Linked DNA regions of Oryctolagus cuniculus. The protein of the gene in region 3 interacts with the protein of the main gene of each other region in a pairwise test. Links are inferred from orthologs where the notes say so. Each region holds a gene or a part of one and is shown on either strand. Other genes may lie near its edges.

Region 1 (5,499 bases), on a different chromosome or scaffold from region 3:
GGGTGGGGGGGAGGAGATGAGACTTTGCTTGGGAACACACTTGTGGGACAGATCAGCTCCTCTTCCTCTGGCTCAGGTACCTGTTTCCTCCAAGGCCACCTCCTCCTCCCCTCCCTGCCCCTCCCCACTCCCTCTGGGCCTCTGGGAGCAGAGTGAGGCATCCCTGCATATTACTGATCTAGACACATGTTGTAACCTGTCCACTTCTTTTTTTAAAAAAAATTATTTATTTGAAAGGCAGAGTTATACACACACACACACACACACATATATATATATATATAGAGAGAGAGAGGTCTTCCATCCTCTGGTTCACTCCAAAATGGGCACAACTGCCAGAGCTGCGCCGATCCAAAGCCAGGAGCCAGGAGCTTCTTCCGGGTCTCCCACGTGGGTGGCAGGGGCCCAAGCACCTGGGCCATCTTCTGCTGTTTTCCCAGGTGCATCAGCAGGGAGCTGGATCGGAAGTGGAGCAGCCTGGACTTGAACCGGCACCTATGTGGGATGCTGGAGCTGCAGGCAGAGGCTTACCCTGCTAAGCCAGGGCGCTGGCCCCAACCTGTCTACCTCTTGATGTCCCAGCAGCCAGTGAGCCCTCCTTAATAACTCCAGTGCCATGCCCAGCTCCCGGCGGAGCCGGAGTTCCATTTGTCAGTTGAATGAATGGATGAATGTGTGTAATATGGCTGTGTGAGGAATGGTTCCCCAAACCACTGCTTTTTAGGTTCCCGGAGGAGAGGTTTGCTTATGTGTTAGCACAAGTGGGCGGAATGCCCACACTTTGTCAACCACCTCTGAGGAGAGGCCTCTCACTCATCTGGGAACTGCCCAGGGGTTTTATCCAGATGAAGGAAGGCTAAGGAGAAGATCCCTCCCGGTTCCCAGGATCTGTGCCTCTGGGGTTGGATATAAAGGCCTTCGCTGGCTGCTGGGACATCAAGAGGCTGATGAACAGGCAACAGAACGCAACAGGTGCATAACAGGAGGGGCTGTCTGCTCTCGGGTTTGTCAGGAAAGGCAGAGGACGGCCTCAGAGGGATCCGGGGTGGCTCAGAAGCAGATCAGCCCCAGAGCACTTCCCATGAATACTGCCAGTCCATCACCCAGCATGTGCTATTTCACTGTGGCTTTACAAGTGAGGAAACTGAGGCCCACACAGGCTAACTTGCTAGTTAGTCCTGGAGCTGGGACTTGAACTCAGGTCTCTCCCCCTTGTAAACCAGGATACCATAACAGCTCTCTGTTTTGTACAGGAGTCTTTGAATCTCCCAGATTGCTAATAATGCTAGGTATTCAGTACGCACCCAATCAACTTGTCTTGACAATCGACAAGAAAATGAAATCCTGAAAAGCTGAACTGTAAGGAGTAGGGTGGCAATGAATCTCTTTTATTCCAGGCAAGGGCTTTTAATCCTGGGACTACAGATGGGGGGAAAGAAGCGGAAGAAACGAGAAAAACTACAATTCCCAAAAGGCTCAAAAGGTCACTATCACGCATGCGTAGATCCCGCCCCTGAAATCTGGCTCGGCGGGTAGATCTCGCGCACGCGCTCTCACATCGGGTCTGTTTCCGACCCCCTGCTACCTCGGGCCAGAGTTGGTGGCTGGACCTTCTGCGACCTGTGGTTGCCATGCTGCCCTTCTCTTTGCTCTGGGCAGTTCGGGTAAGAATGGGGCTCCGGAGGCAGGGTGACTAGTGGAAAAGAACCCCTCCCCCTTCCTAGTTCCCATTCACAAACTCTGGGGTTCTCTTGGCTTTTCCACCGCATGTGCTCATGTATGTATGTAACTAGGGAGTTCCCCGAAACCGCTGGGCACGCGAGGGGTGAGCTGGGGACCCTCGCTGTTCCAGCGTTCAGTCGCCACAGAGCCGCGTGACCGCCCACTTCACGTGGCACGAGGGGAGAGGACCGCGCCGGATGCCCTGGGGACCCTGTACTGGGGAACTAGCTGGGTTCCCGGCCCGGACCAGCAAACCGAACCTTTGCGGCCGGCTCTGAACCATGCACATGATGCAACTGAGCCCCACCGCTTGCATCAGGCAGGGGTCCAGCCAGCGGTAGTGTGGCTGGACGGAGGTGGAAAAGTTAGGGGTGAAGGGAACAGGATATGGTTTTTGGCTTCCCTTTCAGCCAAACAACTCCCCTCCCCAACACGTACCTGTAACCCAGGGGCTGCAGAGGGTCTACCCTCCCACCTCCATCCCTGGGAAAACCACCTCCACAGCCTGTGTGGACTTGGCCTGGGGTAGCAGGTCCCCCACCACCACCCCAGATGGCCCTTTTGTCCCTGTGGGCGGGCAGGTTCTAGAACCTCAGGGGCCCTTTCCTGGGTTTGGGGTTTGGGGAGTACAGACATGGAGGACAACTTTACCCTGGGACTTCACGTAATGGCTTCTGGGGTGAGGTGGAGGGAGTTTCGAAGGAGGTGAGCTGAGTGGAGTGAATCAGTACCACCCCCTGGACCTTGATCTCAACCTTGGTCTGGAACTGGCTTTGAAAGATAGAGGTGGAGGTGGCAAGAACGGGAGCCAGCTGGCTGGACCACTGGCCATTTGGTGTATGGCCAGAGGGCCGTGTGAGCCTGGCTGGGGGTGATTGGGAGACCGCCTGGGTGAGTTGGGATTGACCCTGGCTTTTCCTGCCCCCAGCCTCTGCAGAGATGTGGTCCGCTGGTCAGGACGGCCGTGCGGGCTCAGCACGGCAAGGCGGCGCAGACTCAGACTGGGGAAGCGAGCAGGGGCTGGACCGGCCAGGAGAGCCTCTCGGACACTGACCCTGAGATGTGGGAGCTGTTGCAGAGGGAGAAGGACAGGCAGTGCCGTGGCCTGGAACTCATTGCGTCAGAGGTGGGACCCTGGGAGCGGGGCGTGGAGCAGGTGCAGGACGAAAGAAGTTGTCTTAGTGAGACTTCTGGTGTCCCCTCAGGCCCGGCCCTTTCTGCTGGGCGTGTCTCCTCTTTGGACTGTCCTCTCAAACGACGACAGAGCCAGCCTGCTTAAGGGGATGTGGCATCCAGGCATCCCACAGCCTTCCAGGTCCGCTCCAGGCTCCTCCGCTTCCTCCTGCCCTCCCTGGAGGGAAGAGCAGCCTGGAGGCACGTGTCAGGGTGCACCAGGGGCCTCGCTGGGGACACGCATCGTGGCAGCTGGGGTTCTGAGAATGGTGCCTCTGGCAAGGCACCCTGAGCTCCCTGCGGGGCCCTGGCAGGGTGGGGCTGTGGGGGTCCAGAGGGAGGGACTCCGTGCCGTCTGACCTTGCCCCCCCACCACCCCAGAACTTCTGCAGCCGAGCTGCGCTGGAGGCCCTGGGGTCCTGTCTGAACAACAAGTACTCGGAGGGTTATCCTGGCAAGAGGTGAGGGCGAGGCACCCCAGGGCTGGAGGGCGACATCAGGGCTGGTGCTCCCGACGGGGGACCTACCTGGACCCTCCCGGTGTTTATCGAGGAGTGACCTTGCCAGTCCTTGGCTGCTGGCCCAGGTCCCTTCTCTGGGCCCTTATGCACGCCTCTCCTGCCACAGATACTACGGGGGAGCAGAGGTGGTGGATGAGATTGAGCTGCTGTGCCAGCGCCGGGCCCTGGAAGCCTTTGACCTGGATCCTGCCCAGTGGGGAGTCAACGTCCAGCCCTACTCGGGGTCCCCAGCCAATCTGGCTGCCTACACAGCCCTTCTGCAGCCTCACGACCGCATCATGGGGCTGGACCTGCCTGATGGGGGCCAGTGAGTATGGAGGGGAACAGTGAGGGGGCGGGATTGGGGTAAGGAAGGAGTTTTCTGCCGACACCTGCTGTTCGCGCGCCGTGCGGACGGCACAGGCTTGTCCCTGTCCCATGTGTTACTGTGGATGAGGGACGCGAGACTGGCAGCATCAGAGCCCACCAGAGTGACAGAGCAGGGCGGGCGGACGAGCGGGGAGCTGTGTTCTGGGACAGAGGCCTGGGGAGCTTGGCAGGCAGGGAGTGGCTAAGTCTGGCTCGTTCCACTCTGAGGCCCCCTAACCCTTGCTCCTTTCCCAGCCTTACGCACGGCTACATGTCCGATGTGAAGCGTGTATCAGCCACATCCATCTTCTTCGAGTCTATGCCCTATAAGCTCAACGTGAGTGCTGTGCCACAGACGGGGCTGCTCCAGCCTGGGGCTCCTCTGTCCAGGCGGTAGCAGGGGATGAGGTGGGGGGCTGGAGCCCTGGGCAGCCCTGAGGACCGGGGGGGAGAGGGAGCTGCCCTGCTGCCTCCCTAGGGCTTGAGCTGGCTGTCTGTCTCTCCTGTCTAGCCCCAAACCGGCCTCATCGACTATGAGCAGCTGGCTCTGACTGCCCGGCTTTTCCGGCCGCGGCTTATTATAGCCGGGACCAGTGCCTACGCGCGCCTCATTGACTACGCCCGCATGAGAGAGGTTGGTGGGGCGCCCCGGCCCAGAGGTTTGGGAAGGGGTGCAGCCTTCCCCTGCTGAGGCCTGTCTCCCTACCTGTCCAGGTGTGTGACGAGGTCAAGGCGCATCTGCTGGCAGACATGGCCCACATCAGCGGCCTGGTGGCTGCCAAGGTGATCCCCTCACCTTTCAAGCATGCCGACGTTGTCACCACCACCACCCACAAGACTCTCCGAGGGGCCAGGTCAGGCTTCTCTGCGGGCAGGCCTTGCCCTTCCCCGCCTTCACACCCTGTTCCTGTCCACCCAGTCTGTCCATGGTGGCCATTCCCTGGCAGGGGACGCAGGGGTGGGAAACCAGAACATCAAGCGCGGCCGAGGGGCCCAGGCCGGCCAGCTCCCTCCACCTTCCCCAGCTCAGCCTCTGATCACACACCCTGCACCCAGGTCGGGCCTCATCTTCTACCGCAAGGGAGTACGGACCGTGGACCCTAAGACTGGCCAGGAGATCCCTTACACGTTTGAGGACCGGATCAACTTCGCTGTGTTCCCATCGCTGCAGGGGGGCCCCCACAACCATGCCATTGCTGCAGTAGCCGTGGCCCTGAAGCAGGTGGGCAGCCTGCTCTTGGGGACTGGATGGGGCACACAGGCCCGAGGGCATGGCCTCTGCACCTTGCTAACTCAAGTGGGGGCTGATGGAAGGAAAGTGCGGGAGAGGCCAAGGCTGGAGTCCGGGGGCAGGCTGGGGGTGAAGCCGGGCAGGGCCACAGTTGCTGCTGTCTTACTTGCAGGCCTGCACCCCCATGTTCCGGGAGTACTCCCTGCAGGTTCTGAAGAACGCCCGGGCCATGGCTGACGCGCTGCTGGAGCGAGGCTACTCCCTGGTGTCCGGTGAGCCAGGGAGGATGGATGAGGGTTTTGGAGCTCTGGGTGGAGGCCCAGGACTCACCACGCTCCCATTTTTATCCCCCCATTAGGTGGCACCGACAACCACCTGGTGCTGGTGGACCTGCGACCCAAGGGTCTGGATGGAGCTCGGGCTGAGCGGGTACTGGAGCTTGTTTCCATTACTGCCAACAAGAACACCTGTCCTGGAGACAGAAGTGCCATCACCCCCGGGGGC
Region 2 (5,499 bases), on a different chromosome or scaffold from region 3:
CCAATAGGCAGACTATAAGATACGTGTTAGAAATTTTTCCTCTAAGGCTATGAGACTCTCCCTTTCCCCCTTTCCCCTTTTCTCTTTATCTTATAATACACAGAGGCCAGACAGGACTTAATCCTTCCATACCAGGGCTGCATTGCTCGTCCACATTGTGGTTTTGGTGTGGGTGTGGAGAAAAACCTGGAATTCAGATCTGAAGTCTTGGCCATTGAGACAAAGCCAAAGAATTCTCTCTCCAGCTGGATGGTGACACCGAGTGGTTATTCTAGTGTCTGGGTGGTTCTGTGCCTAGGGAAGGACCAGCACCCCACTAGCATTCAGGCTTTTGTTTGAATCATGCCTTTTGATCTTTCCTTTCCATATCCCCTTTCTGTCTCCATTTTGGGTCGCTTCTACTGGCCTCTGCTGCTACACCAGCGGTTGATGTCTGTGGCCAAATACATGCAACACAAAAGCTGATGATGTATACTTAGCGTTTGTGATTTTACCAGAAGCATCAACAGTTATCACGCTAGTAAAAGGTGCTTTTGACTGGAATCAGTCTCCTAAGGACAATTTCTGAAATGATGGACATAACATTGCACGTTTGAAAAGAACAGGAGTTCCACAAAACGGAAAGCATGTCATGGGAACAATACAAATCGTAAATGTAAAAAGAGCTTTATTATTGCAATGGGACAATACCTGTTTTAATTGCATATTTTAGAGTTGTTTGGCAATGCATCAAAATTTCCTCCAAATTTTGTGGGTGCTCTGCCAGTTCCCAATTATACTCTTGAAGAAGCTCATTGGGATAATGGAAATCGATCACTTTGGTGGATCGATCAAAACTTTTCACCACGTACTGAAGCAGAATGTCCACAACCTCTTGCAGAAAGGCGAGGGTGGGCCTCTCGCCCCCGAAGGCGGGCAGCAGGTCTGAGGGACGGAATAAAAAGGCCACATTTCAATTTACCCGTGAATACACGCAGGCAGTATCTTGATCGGGCAATTTCTCCTTGAACAGATTATACGATTTTTTTAAAGAGCATTTTCTGTAAAGGGATCACTTTTCACAGAGGAAAGCAATCAATGAGAGGAAATACGACTTCTCTTCCCTTCCTCATCAATTCTTGCAATTTCAATTCCTAGCTTATTGTTCGTTTTCCTTTAGACAAGAGAGCGCGGCTCCATTGGTCTGTTCCCAGGAGCGCATCCTAACTGTCACTTCTCAGTGAATCCTCTTAGATGCCTACGGACGCATTTTCACATCAGCAGTGTCTGGGGAGTGCCTTCGGGCGCACCTGGCTGCGCAGAACCCAGCACGTTAGGGTTTCGGGGCCATGGAAGACCCGCTCTTTCCGCGTCGATGTGTGTGTGTGCATGCACGCGCGCGCGTGTGCGTTTGGAGACCGGGCGTGCAAATGCACGGGGAGTTGTAGGGGTCAGCTTCGCACACGGCTGTCGCTTGAACAGAATCGAGTTTCTGTGACACCGCTCTGATCTCACCCCCTGAGTCCCGGTCTAGATACCCGGACCCCGAGTCTCACCTGGCGCGCGGTGGGTGGGGCCGGGCCCGTTTTACCTGTTGCGTGCAGAAAGGCGTAGTTGACGTCCGCTTTGGGGCAGCTGCAGGGCTTCTGGTCGCAGGCACAGGCGGCCTTCCGGGCGGGGGCCCGCGAGGGCTGGTTCCCGCCGCTGTCGGCTGGCTTCTCGGTGTCCCCGTAGAGCAGCGCTGCGCAAGGATGCGGAGAGCGCGGGTTGCGGTCAGCCGATGGGGATGCGGGGGTGAGAAGGTGGCTTTGACCCGGCGCGCGCGCGCTGCAAGCGCCTGACCTTGCCCGCCCCCAACGCGCCCTTCCCTGGACCCCGGGCACTCACCGCACAGCTTGTTTCCGATGCCGCCCGTGAACTTCTGGGCCACCTGGCACCAGGCTCTCGCTGCAAGGAGGGCAGAAAGAGAGCGCGGACGCAGGTGTGAGATTTCGTTCTGTGTGAACACCGCCAACCCGCGCGGGGTCAGGGCAGGGGCCGCCTTGTCTCCTGCAGGGGCCTCCCCGGACTCCGCGCGGCTGCAGGTGCGGAAGGCGTGCAGGAGCCTCGCAGCGCGGCTGGCCCTCCATTCAGTCCGTGCATCTGTTTCGCAAGGAGGAGCCCAAGCCACGGCCCTCCACCCTCACCCACCAAATGCCCATCGGCCAAGGAAGCTCTCCTCCCCGCCTAGGCACCCAGGATGTCCATGTCCTCGCATGCTGTTTCCAGACCTAAAAATCCTCTTCCTCTTTCGCATTTTCCCCACTTTCTCAGCCGCCACTCCGCCCCTCCCCAGCGTCCCAGGCCCCCGGGATTCGGTGTCCTGGAGGTGCCGTCGTCTTTGGGGATGAAGGAGCCTGAGGCTCCTGGACGTCTTTCCTGGGGCCGCCAAGGACTTAGCCCTGGAGCAGGGCTAAGGAAGTTTTCTGATGCAGGGAGTCTTCCCCTGCCTCCTCTCTCCTCCCTGGCATGCACACCCCAGGGCACCCGCAGATCTCGCCTCATGCCGTCTCCCGTTCTCGTACCTGTGCCAGGGTTCTCGGGGTCTCCGGAGCCATCTTCAGTCCCGAAGGACCAGAAGCCGGAGCCCGGAGATGCCATCAGCGCTGCGAGCCGGGAGCAGGTTGCTTCCGAGTGCGAGCTGCTGGGGAAGCTGCCACCAGCTCGGCCCGGTGCGCGCGCGCGCGCGTGCGTATGTGTGTTGTGTGTGTTGTGTGTGTGTGTGTGTGTGGCGGGAGGGGGCACCGCGCGCGGCGAGGGTGGGTGTCACACAGGGACAGCCAACGTGCGTGTCTGCCTGCGCGGGTGCGCGCGGCGGGTCGGGCTTAGGGATCTGGACACGCTTTGGAAGCCGTGCAGGTTCAATGGGGAAGGAGTCAGGGGGACCCGGACAGTGGAAAGTACAGGGCGCCGGGAGGGAGCTTAGTGGGGATGGCTGAGGGGGCGGCGGAGAGAGGACGTGGGCGAGGGCGAGGGTGCGAGGCTGACTGCGCGCGCCAGCTTGAGTCAGAGGCCCCAGTGGGAGGCGTGCAGGCGCGTGAGCCCCCGCCCGCCAGAGCGCGCTGTCCAGGGTGCTACCGAGGCCGGCCGCGCACGGACCTCCGCCAGGGGCACACAACAGGGAGGACGTGGAAGGTGGCTGCTACTGTTTCACTGGTGCCCCGAGGGGCGTATTGCGTGGCTCCTGCTGCGTGGAAGGAAGCGCGGTTCCCGCGCCGCCTTTCTCCAAGCGAGTACTGAGGTCGTGGCGACCGCAGAGCCAGAATCGGGCGCCGGTCACGACGAGCTTCCGGAAGGAGGAGGTAGAGGAACAGCGCCCACGCACGGGTGGGCGCGTTTCAGCTCCTTAGCAGAGCCCGAAGCCTGTCCTGGGGCGCGCCGCTCCTGCGCAGTCCCGCGCTGGGTGGCCGCGCCCTCTGTCCAGGTTCAAAATCCACGCTGGGGTCTGTCACCGACGACCTCCGGCTAGGAATAAAATCATAAAACGCACCGACGCTTCTTGGGAGGGAGCAGGGGAGAGTGGCCAACGCCGGCGGGGTTGATGGCAGACGGGGGGATGAGGTCACTGGGTGACCTTGGCTGGACAGGCGTGGATGCGCCTGCTGCTCGCAGCGTGGTGGGGAGAAGCGCGCGGGGTTCCAGCTATGCAGCCTGGGCTTTCCAGATCCGAGCAAAGACACCATCCACCGGGCCCTCGTTTTTTAGGGGATCCCAAACCAACGATCCCTGCGCCCCAAGAGACTCTTCACGGTGGGTGGGATCTGCTGTCTCCGAGGTTCTGGGGTGGGAAAGAGGTTCCTCATTTTCTAAGGAGGAGAAAGCATCTTTTCTCCGCGATGATTTCTTTTTTCTAAAAGCTGCCGACGCTGGGAATGCGCCCAGAGTGTCTGGGTTCCCCGAGTTCTTTTTTGCTTTCTCTGGGCGGCCGAGATCAACTTGACATGCACCTTGGCTGCTCCGAGACTGACCCGGGAGGGAAAGGACTGCGTTCGGCCTCCCGCGGCACCTGCCCGCCGGCGCCTCCCGGGAGCCTTCCTCATTTCCTTCGGGCTCGCGGGCGGTTCTCCCAGACCTCCCTAGCCAGTTATCAGATCGGTTTCTCAGTTTCGGCTACCACCCCTCGACGCTTGCTCGGGAGTAGGAGTCGTGGGGTCCGAGGGGACCACGCGCAGGCCCACAGCTTGCGTCCCCAAGCGCACTGTCCCCGGGCCAATGCTCTCCACAAAGCTTTGTTCTCTCCCTGCGTGCCCGAGTGCTGGGGATCCGGCAGGAGCCATCGGATACGCCCTGTGGCCGCCGTCCTGGGGCGGGGGGTGAGCGCGGGGAGCGCACTGGTGGTGGAGCCGCGGAGGGCGTGGCGCTGAGCCGGGCAGTGTGGAGCAGCTCCGGCAGGGCTGCAGGGGCGCGGCGGTCAGGCACGCAGGCTTTGGCTGGGCCCCGCTTTCCCGCCCTCCCGGCTCCAAGTGTTCCAGCTGGCCAGGCGACAACTCCGGGAACGCAAAGACTTCGTGGCTCAGCTGTGCGCGCCGCAGCTAGGGCAGCCCCGCGGCTCTCGATCCAGCCGCGCAGATACGAGCCGGGGAGACTGCTTCTTTGATGAACTCCACGCCAAATTCGGCAAATACTTTGCTTCAAGGCAGCAGGAACTTTTCCACTAGGGATGAGTGGTCGAGAATTTAAAACAAGCGTTCAGCGCGCGCGCCCACAGAGGCAGAAACGGATTAAAACACGAGGAAGGTAGAAATCCCCTCCACATTTTTATTTTATTTATTTTTTTGGTAAGGCGATGATTTACAATGCTTCTGTTTAAACTCCATGAAACCCCCTAGCTCCGAATACTTTAAGTCTCACGGTGTTATTCCTATTTTTCCCCTTTTTTATTTATAAACACACACGTTACTTGAGAGGCAGACGGGGATACCCAATTTGTCTTCCTTTAACGCTGCCTAGACAGCGGTTGGCTTGGTAAAGACTTGGATTTCGCAAAAGAGCCGGCTCACCCTCTTGCTGGCGCTCCGGGTTGCAGATAACAAAAGAAGGCAGGGAGCTCATAATTACGGTCATTAGCGCACAAAGGAGGCAGCCAGCGAAGCGCGCAGAGGCGGGCCGCGCAGGGGGCGGCTGTCCAAGGCCCTTCCTTGGACGACCCAGTACCTGTTCTGGGCTCCGTTTCGCCCTGGGATCTCGCCGCCGTCCGGGGCCAAAGAAGAGGGCCCAGGAAAAGAAAGCAAGCGAGAGAAAGCCTAAAAGGAAACAAAAACATGGCACCCTCCCGCCGAGCTCTGTGTCTCCAGTCTCGCTTTTTGGCAGTGTGAGTGTGGCTGGCGGGAGCGGCTCCGTCATCTCCCGCATCCCAGCCACGAAAGGCCGGGCCGCCGGGCCGCCCGGGAGGTCTGGATTCAAAGACGCAACTGCAGCTCGGCGCAGCTCGGTTTGCTGCCCCTCGAGGGTCTCCGGCCTGGGTGAAAGGCTGGTTAGGGC
Region 3 (5,499 bases):
GTTCTTTCTTAAATGCTTTGGGCATTTTTTAACATAGTATATATTGGTTTCTCATAATGACAAAGGCAATTTAGTGGAGGAAGCTTCTTTTTGATATTTGAAACTTAAAGGTCCAAACATTTCACAGCACCGAGACAAGTGTCTCACCCAGCAGACTGCTCCTGGTCACTACATGACTGTGGACTACAGTCGACCAGTTACCTTTTCCTATTTATTCAAGAATAGTTTGTGAAATAGCTGATCACCTCAAATATCAACAGAAATGGAAATGTGCACCTGTTAGGGAAAGCTCACTGAGATGTTTGTTAGTCCTCACTGAAACTGTACCTTCAGAAAGCCCGTGGCAGTAAATGTAAGTTTAAACCACACGGGTGAAGGTGAAAACGCCTGAATGATTCGACAAGGCTCTGCACTTAATCACAGCACAGTAGCCACGGCCACCAGGTTCAGGAAGGCCTCTGAAATTAAACCGGCAAATCACTGTGTCACTTACCATTTATTGGAGCCAAAAATCCTGGGTGCTAGAATGGGAACAAGGTAGTCAGCCAAGCACAAAAACATAACAAAGCAGGAAACACCGGACAGAACAGATGGGTCCAGATAGTAGATAATCCTGTTAAAAAAAATTAAAGAAGCTTAGAAAACAGCCAGTATTATGCCTGGCTGCAGATGCTTAATTTCACAATTCACTCAGTGCCGTGGTTCTCAGAGACGTTATTTGGCACTAATTTCCTCACCAGTGGTTTCCAGAGGCTTCATAGCATGATGACGTCACAGCCGCAGTGGCTGATATAAATACCAACCTACAAAGGCTTTCGGAAACCCCCAGTACTTTTTAAGATTGTAATGGTAAGATGGTAATGGTTTTGAGCCAAAAGGCTTGAGAGTCACCGAGTTATTCAACTGCGTCAAGTTACCAAGCTTACATAAGTACTACCAACTGTGGAAACCCAGCACGGCTTGTAAGAAAAGGCATTCTTGATGGATTACAGGCTACAAAAGGCTTCATTAAGGTGCTGCCCTGAACAGAGCCTTCAGCGCTACCAAGCGCACGCAGCCCATGGAGTCCCCCGGCTCACTTACAGAAACACCAGGGAGACCACAGCCAGGAGGGCAGGCGGGAACCAGGCTCTCTCCCACCGCAGCACTTTGTCGGCCAGAAGCATCACCTCTCCCCAGCCCTGCAGCTGCTCCTCCAGACTCGCCGTCTCTGCAGCCTACACGGGGCAGAAGGGAAAGCGGCCATTTCATCACTCAGCATCTCCGTGGTTCTAACAGTTACATCTTCCCAAGGCCAATCAATAGGTGAAACACCTCCTCATTCCAATCTTCAACAGTTTCCTTTCTGAGGAACTCTGCAATTTTGTACCAAAGATGGGAATCAACCAGGGGGCTAGGGGAAGCCTCTCCTTGTTTTTTTTTTTTTTTTTAAGATTTTATTTGAAAGAGTTACAGAGAGAGGTAGAGACAGAGAGAAAGAGAGAGGTCTTCCATCCCCTGGGTCACCCTCCAGATGGCTGCAACTGCTGGAGTTGCACTGATCCAAAGCCTAGGAGCTCCCTCCCCATCTCCTACGCGGGTGCAGGGCCCCAAGGACTCGGGCCATCTTCTCCTGGGCAGAGCCCACCCTGTAGTGAATCCAAGCACGGGGCGACTCCTCACATACATGATGGAGCTCAACCCTTACAGAGCTGGCAATGTAGGGATGCGACTCATTTCACAGTGAAAGCAAGTGGGCTCCAAACCTTCCCAGGCGTGGACAGGCAATCAGTGGCAGCACCCAGAGTGCTAATCAGATTAGACCACTCCAGGTTTGTTCATTTCAGGTGGTGGGAACTGGCCCGCAGCTCACTCACTTCATCCATCTCAATCCTACTCTCAATCCATTAGGAAAGCCTTCCCCTGAGCCGCACTCACCTTCTAAAACGGCTCTGTGTAACGGGAGCACTGAGATAGTGGGCTCCATTGCAAAATTAAGGAAAACAGCTTTCCAAATTACAAGTGCCATTCTACAGCGCTTCCTGTCGCTCGGGGTAGACTTCCAGTGTTCCTGCAGCCCTGACATCCCAAAGTGGGCCTTGAAGACGAGCTCAGGCCACAAACTCCCTGAAGCTCATCTTGGTAAAGGAGAAAACACTGGAACAGGAAACCCCAACGTCCCTGTGAGTACTTCCCCTTAGAACTAGGTGTCCTGGCTTTATCGCTCACGCTTACGACTAGTTAAATCAGAGATCACATGTGCCAAGAACCTTAAACTTCGCCTGATCCTCTCAATCGCCCTAGAAAGAAGGGGTTGTTGCCATCCCCGTTTCGCTGATAAGGAAACTGAGACGCAAAGGAGTTGACAGCGTCGGCCCCGGGAAGTCAAAGGCCTTGCTGTCCCTGCAGTCGGGCTGCTCTGCTGGGGACCCCAGGCTCCAGGTGAGACTCGGCTATTGCAACAGGACTTGGACAGCCTCGCTGTGCTTGCACCGATTCTCTTAGAAAGCAGCAGCGCAAAGCAAAAAACCACGCCCAATGCAAGCCGCCCTTCTGAGTTCGCCAACATCTGGGACCTTGGAACGCTCTCTCGGGTCCTGCCTGGACCGGTGCAGTTAAATCCGAATCCAATACGTCCACCCAAGGCAGGGCCTCGCTGCAGCTCCCCCGGATCCTCTCCAGCCGTCCTGTGAGCTCCCAGCCCCCGGCCTTCCCAACTCCAGGCCCAGGCCCGGTTCCCCATGGGGAGCTCGCAGCCTCCCTGTCCTTGTAAGCTGCGCCAGCTCCAACAGAAATCCTCGGCCGTGGCCCTGGGACCCTCCATCCCCGCTCAAGTCTTAGACGGAGGAGGACGAGCGCTCGCCCAGGGTGAGATCCAAGGCGGACAGGACCGCGGCGAGGCCCGAAAGCCACCGCGCGGCCCCTCGCAGCCCCCGTCCCGCACTCCTCAACCCCCACTCGCAGTGACTAATCACGCGCCCTCCTCGCCCCGCCGCGCACCGCCCACCGGGAGCCGCCCACGAACCCCGAAGGGACGGGGGTCTCCCGGGCTGGGCCGAGGAGGGACGGGCCCGTGGCGGGGACAGGAGCGAGGCCGCGACGACCGTCCCCGCCGAGCCCACCGGCCGGCCCAGCTCGGTTCCTGCGGGCAGGCCTCCGGGACTCACCAGCAGATTGGTGCTGCGATTATCTCCCTCCGCCATCGTCCGTCAAGAGTCGTCTCAGCGAACCCGAGCCGCCTCTCCAACCTCAACCTCCGCTGGAAACCCGCACAGTGAACACAGCGCGAGGGAACGCCCCGCAGGTCGCTTATATAGGCCGGCCGCCTTTCCCGACAGCACCCGCGACGCTCGCTCCTCATTGGGTGAATCGAGCGCAGGTTTCAGGAAAGCCCCACCAACCACAGCTCAGCGCATGACTTGAAATCGAGGTCAAAGGAGAGAGGGGCCGCGCCGGGCAGAGGGGGCGGGGAAACGGAATAACCAATGGGCGCCCAGGGATTGTGCGGCGCCCCGCCCAGGGCTCGCGGAAGCGGTTCAACTGTCGCTGCCGGCGGCGGAGGTTTGGTTGGCCGAGAGTGGACGCCACCGTAGCCGCGGGACCCTCCCGGCGTTGGCTCCGCTCAGCGCCTAAGGAACCCCTCTGGAAAACTGAGTAGTCGTAGAGGTGTGCGGTGTCAGGCGGAGGGCAGAGATGGGCACGCGGCGCGGGACAGTGGCTGGGGCGGGCCGACCGCGAGTCCGTCTCCCAGCGCCGCGGTCCCTCGCCGTCCCCGGCCTGTGAGCGGCTTAACCCAGATTTGTGACTCGTGCCCACCTCGTGAGGTTCTGAGAACCAGTGAATGGAGCTGTTGATGTGGCTTCTGCCGCAGCGTATTCAGGAATGAGGTCTTTGGGTGGGGGTGGGTGTCAAAGTGAGAGAGAAATCCTTCATGGGGCATTTTTTTTTTTTTTAATTTATTTATTCGAGAGGCAGGCAGAGTGAGAGAGGCCTTCCATTCTCCGGTTCACTCCCCAAGTGGCCCCAACGGGTAGGGGGGCTCAGAGCCAGGAGCTTCCTCCGGGGCTCCCATGCAGGTGCAGGGGCCCAAGGACTCGGGCCATCTTCCATTGCTTTCCCAGGCCACAGCAGAGAGCTGGAACTGGTGACCCAATGGGATGCTGGCACTGCAGGCGGCGGCTTTACCCGCTAAGCCACAGCGCCGGGCCCCTTGGTTTAAACTACAAACTCCCCCTGTACCAAGTGATTAATAGCGCCTTCCTTCCATTAGAGAGAGCTGGATGAACTCTGTTGAGATCCTTCTCCATCTTTTCCATCTTGGACTTCAAAATGCGTTAGCAAGCTCTTGTCTGAATCACGCCAAATGTTGGCCTAGACAGAGGTTCGTCTCAGGGAAAGTACTGTACGCTTTATCCTTATAAACCCATGTGTATTAATGCCACCGACTTTATCCTGAAAGCACTCTTCAAATAACAACCAGGTTCTGAAAAGTTCAGGGAAGTCAAAGAAAAGCCCTGAGCAAACTGGACCAACCAGGAGCCTTGTGAACTTAGCGGAAGTGTCAAATCTGACCGCGATCTTTGGGGGCGGGGCGATCACCTGGCCTCCCCAACGTTAGAGGTCTCTGCTATGGGGGACGCTGCAGGAAAGTTCAGGTTGTATAGGTAACGTACAGTCAATAAAGACCTCGTTTGTTTTACATTGAGAGCTGCAGCTCCCATCCACTGGTTCCTTTGCCAAATGGGGCTGGGAAAACCTGACAGGAGTGGAGAACTCAATCCAGGTCTCTCATGTGGGTGTCAGGGACCAACTACTTGAGCCATCATCTAATGCCTCCCAGGATCAATTCAGCAAGAAGCTGAATCGGGGGCTGGCGCTATGACGTAGCAGCTAAAGCTGCCATCTGCGGTGCCGGTTCAAGTCCTGGCTGCTCCATTTCTGCTCAGCTCTCCGCTGTGGCCTGGGAAAGCAGTGAAAGATGGCCCAAGTGCTTGGGCCCCTGCATCCACGCGGGAGTCCCTGAAGAAGCTCCTGGCTTTGGATTAGCCCAGCTCCAGCCATTTGGAGAGTGAACCAGTGGGTGGGAGATCTTTCTGCCTAGCTCTGCCTTTCAAATAAGTAAAATCTTTTAAAACAAAAATGGAATCAGGAGCTCGAACCAGGAGTGGAACCCATGCACTCTAACGTGGGACACAGGCTTAATGCTCACGCTTTGGCAGACTTTAAAGCTCTGGAGTTTGAGGAGCAGGCTCTCCTCTGTCTTTAGAAGAAAAAGGACAAAAAGACCGAAGAATGAGCAGCCACACTGGTGAAGGTGTTGAGCAGAGTGTACAATCTTGCTAGCGGCATACTAACACCCAACTTTAAAGAATGGCCAAAGAGGGCCAGTGCCGCAGTTCACTAGGCTAATTCTCCGCCTAGCGGCGCTGGCACACCGGGTTCTAGTCCCGGTTGCCCCTCTTCCAGGCCAGCTCTCTGCTGTGGCCAGGGAGTGCAGTGGAGGATGGCCCAGGTGCTTGG

The links.
Region 1: the proteins of ARL6IP1 (region 3) and SHMT2 interact in binary tests that used the Homo sapiens proteins (3 or more experiments, as listed by UniProt). The two-hybrid records come from large-scale screens. The link is inferred for Oryctolagus cuniculus from reciprocal best matches to the Homo sapiens genes ARL6IP1 and SHMT2.
Region 2: the proteins of ARL6IP1 (region 3) and GAD2 interact in binary tests that used the Homo sapiens proteins (3 or more experiments, as listed by UniProt). The two-hybrid records come from large-scale screens. The link is inferred for Oryctolagus cuniculus from reciprocal best matches to the Homo sapiens genes ARL6IP1 and GAD2.

What each region holds. Positions count from the first base shown.
Region 1 is NC_091442.1:59,865,871-59,871,369, forward strand, and holds the start of SHMT2 (serine hydroxymethyltransferase, mitochondrial), read left to right. Parts: upstream 1-1,536; 5' UTR 1,537-1,631; coding exon of another isoform or gene 1,632-1,664; intron 1,665-2,650; coding exon of another isoform or gene 2,651-2,848; intron 2,849-3,276; coding exon of another isoform or gene 3,277-3,356; intron 3,357-3,522; coding exon of another isoform or gene 3,523-3,694; coding exon 3,695-3,723; intron 3,724-4,019; coding exon 4,020-4,101; intron 4,102-4,275; coding exon 4,276-4,398; intron 4,399-4,478; coding exon 4,479-4,618; intron 4,619-4,820; coding exon 4,821-4,986; intron 4,987-5,167; coding exon 5,168-5,267; intron 5,268-5,353; coding exon 5,354-5,499. UniProt on the Homo sapiens protein: Catalyzes the cleavage of serine to glycine accompanied with the production of 5,10-methylenetetrahydrofolate, an essential intermediate for purine biosynthesis.
Region 2 is NC_091444.1:103,723,621-103,729,119, forward strand, and holds the start of GAD2 (glutamate decarboxylase 2), read right to left. Parts: upstream 3,468-5,499; 5' UTR 2,620-3,467; coding exon 2,544-2,619; intron 1,927-2,543; coding exon 1,867-1,926; intron 1,721-1,866; coding exon 1,571-1,720; intron 925-1,570; coding exon 691-924; intron 1-690. UniProt on the Homo sapiens protein: Catalyzes the production of GABA.
Region 3 is NC_091450.1:20,961,597-20,967,095, forward strand, and holds the start of ARL6IP1 (ADP-ribosylation factor-like protein 6-interacting protein 1), read right to left. Parts: upstream 3,337-5,499; 5' UTR 3,183-3,336; coding exon 3,147-3,182; intron 1,218-3,146; coding exon 1,084-1,217; intron 614-1,083; coding exon 494-613; intron 1-493. UniProt on the Homo sapiens protein: Positively regulates SLC1A1/EAAC1-mediated glutamate transport by increasing its affinity for glutamate in a PKC activity-dependent manner.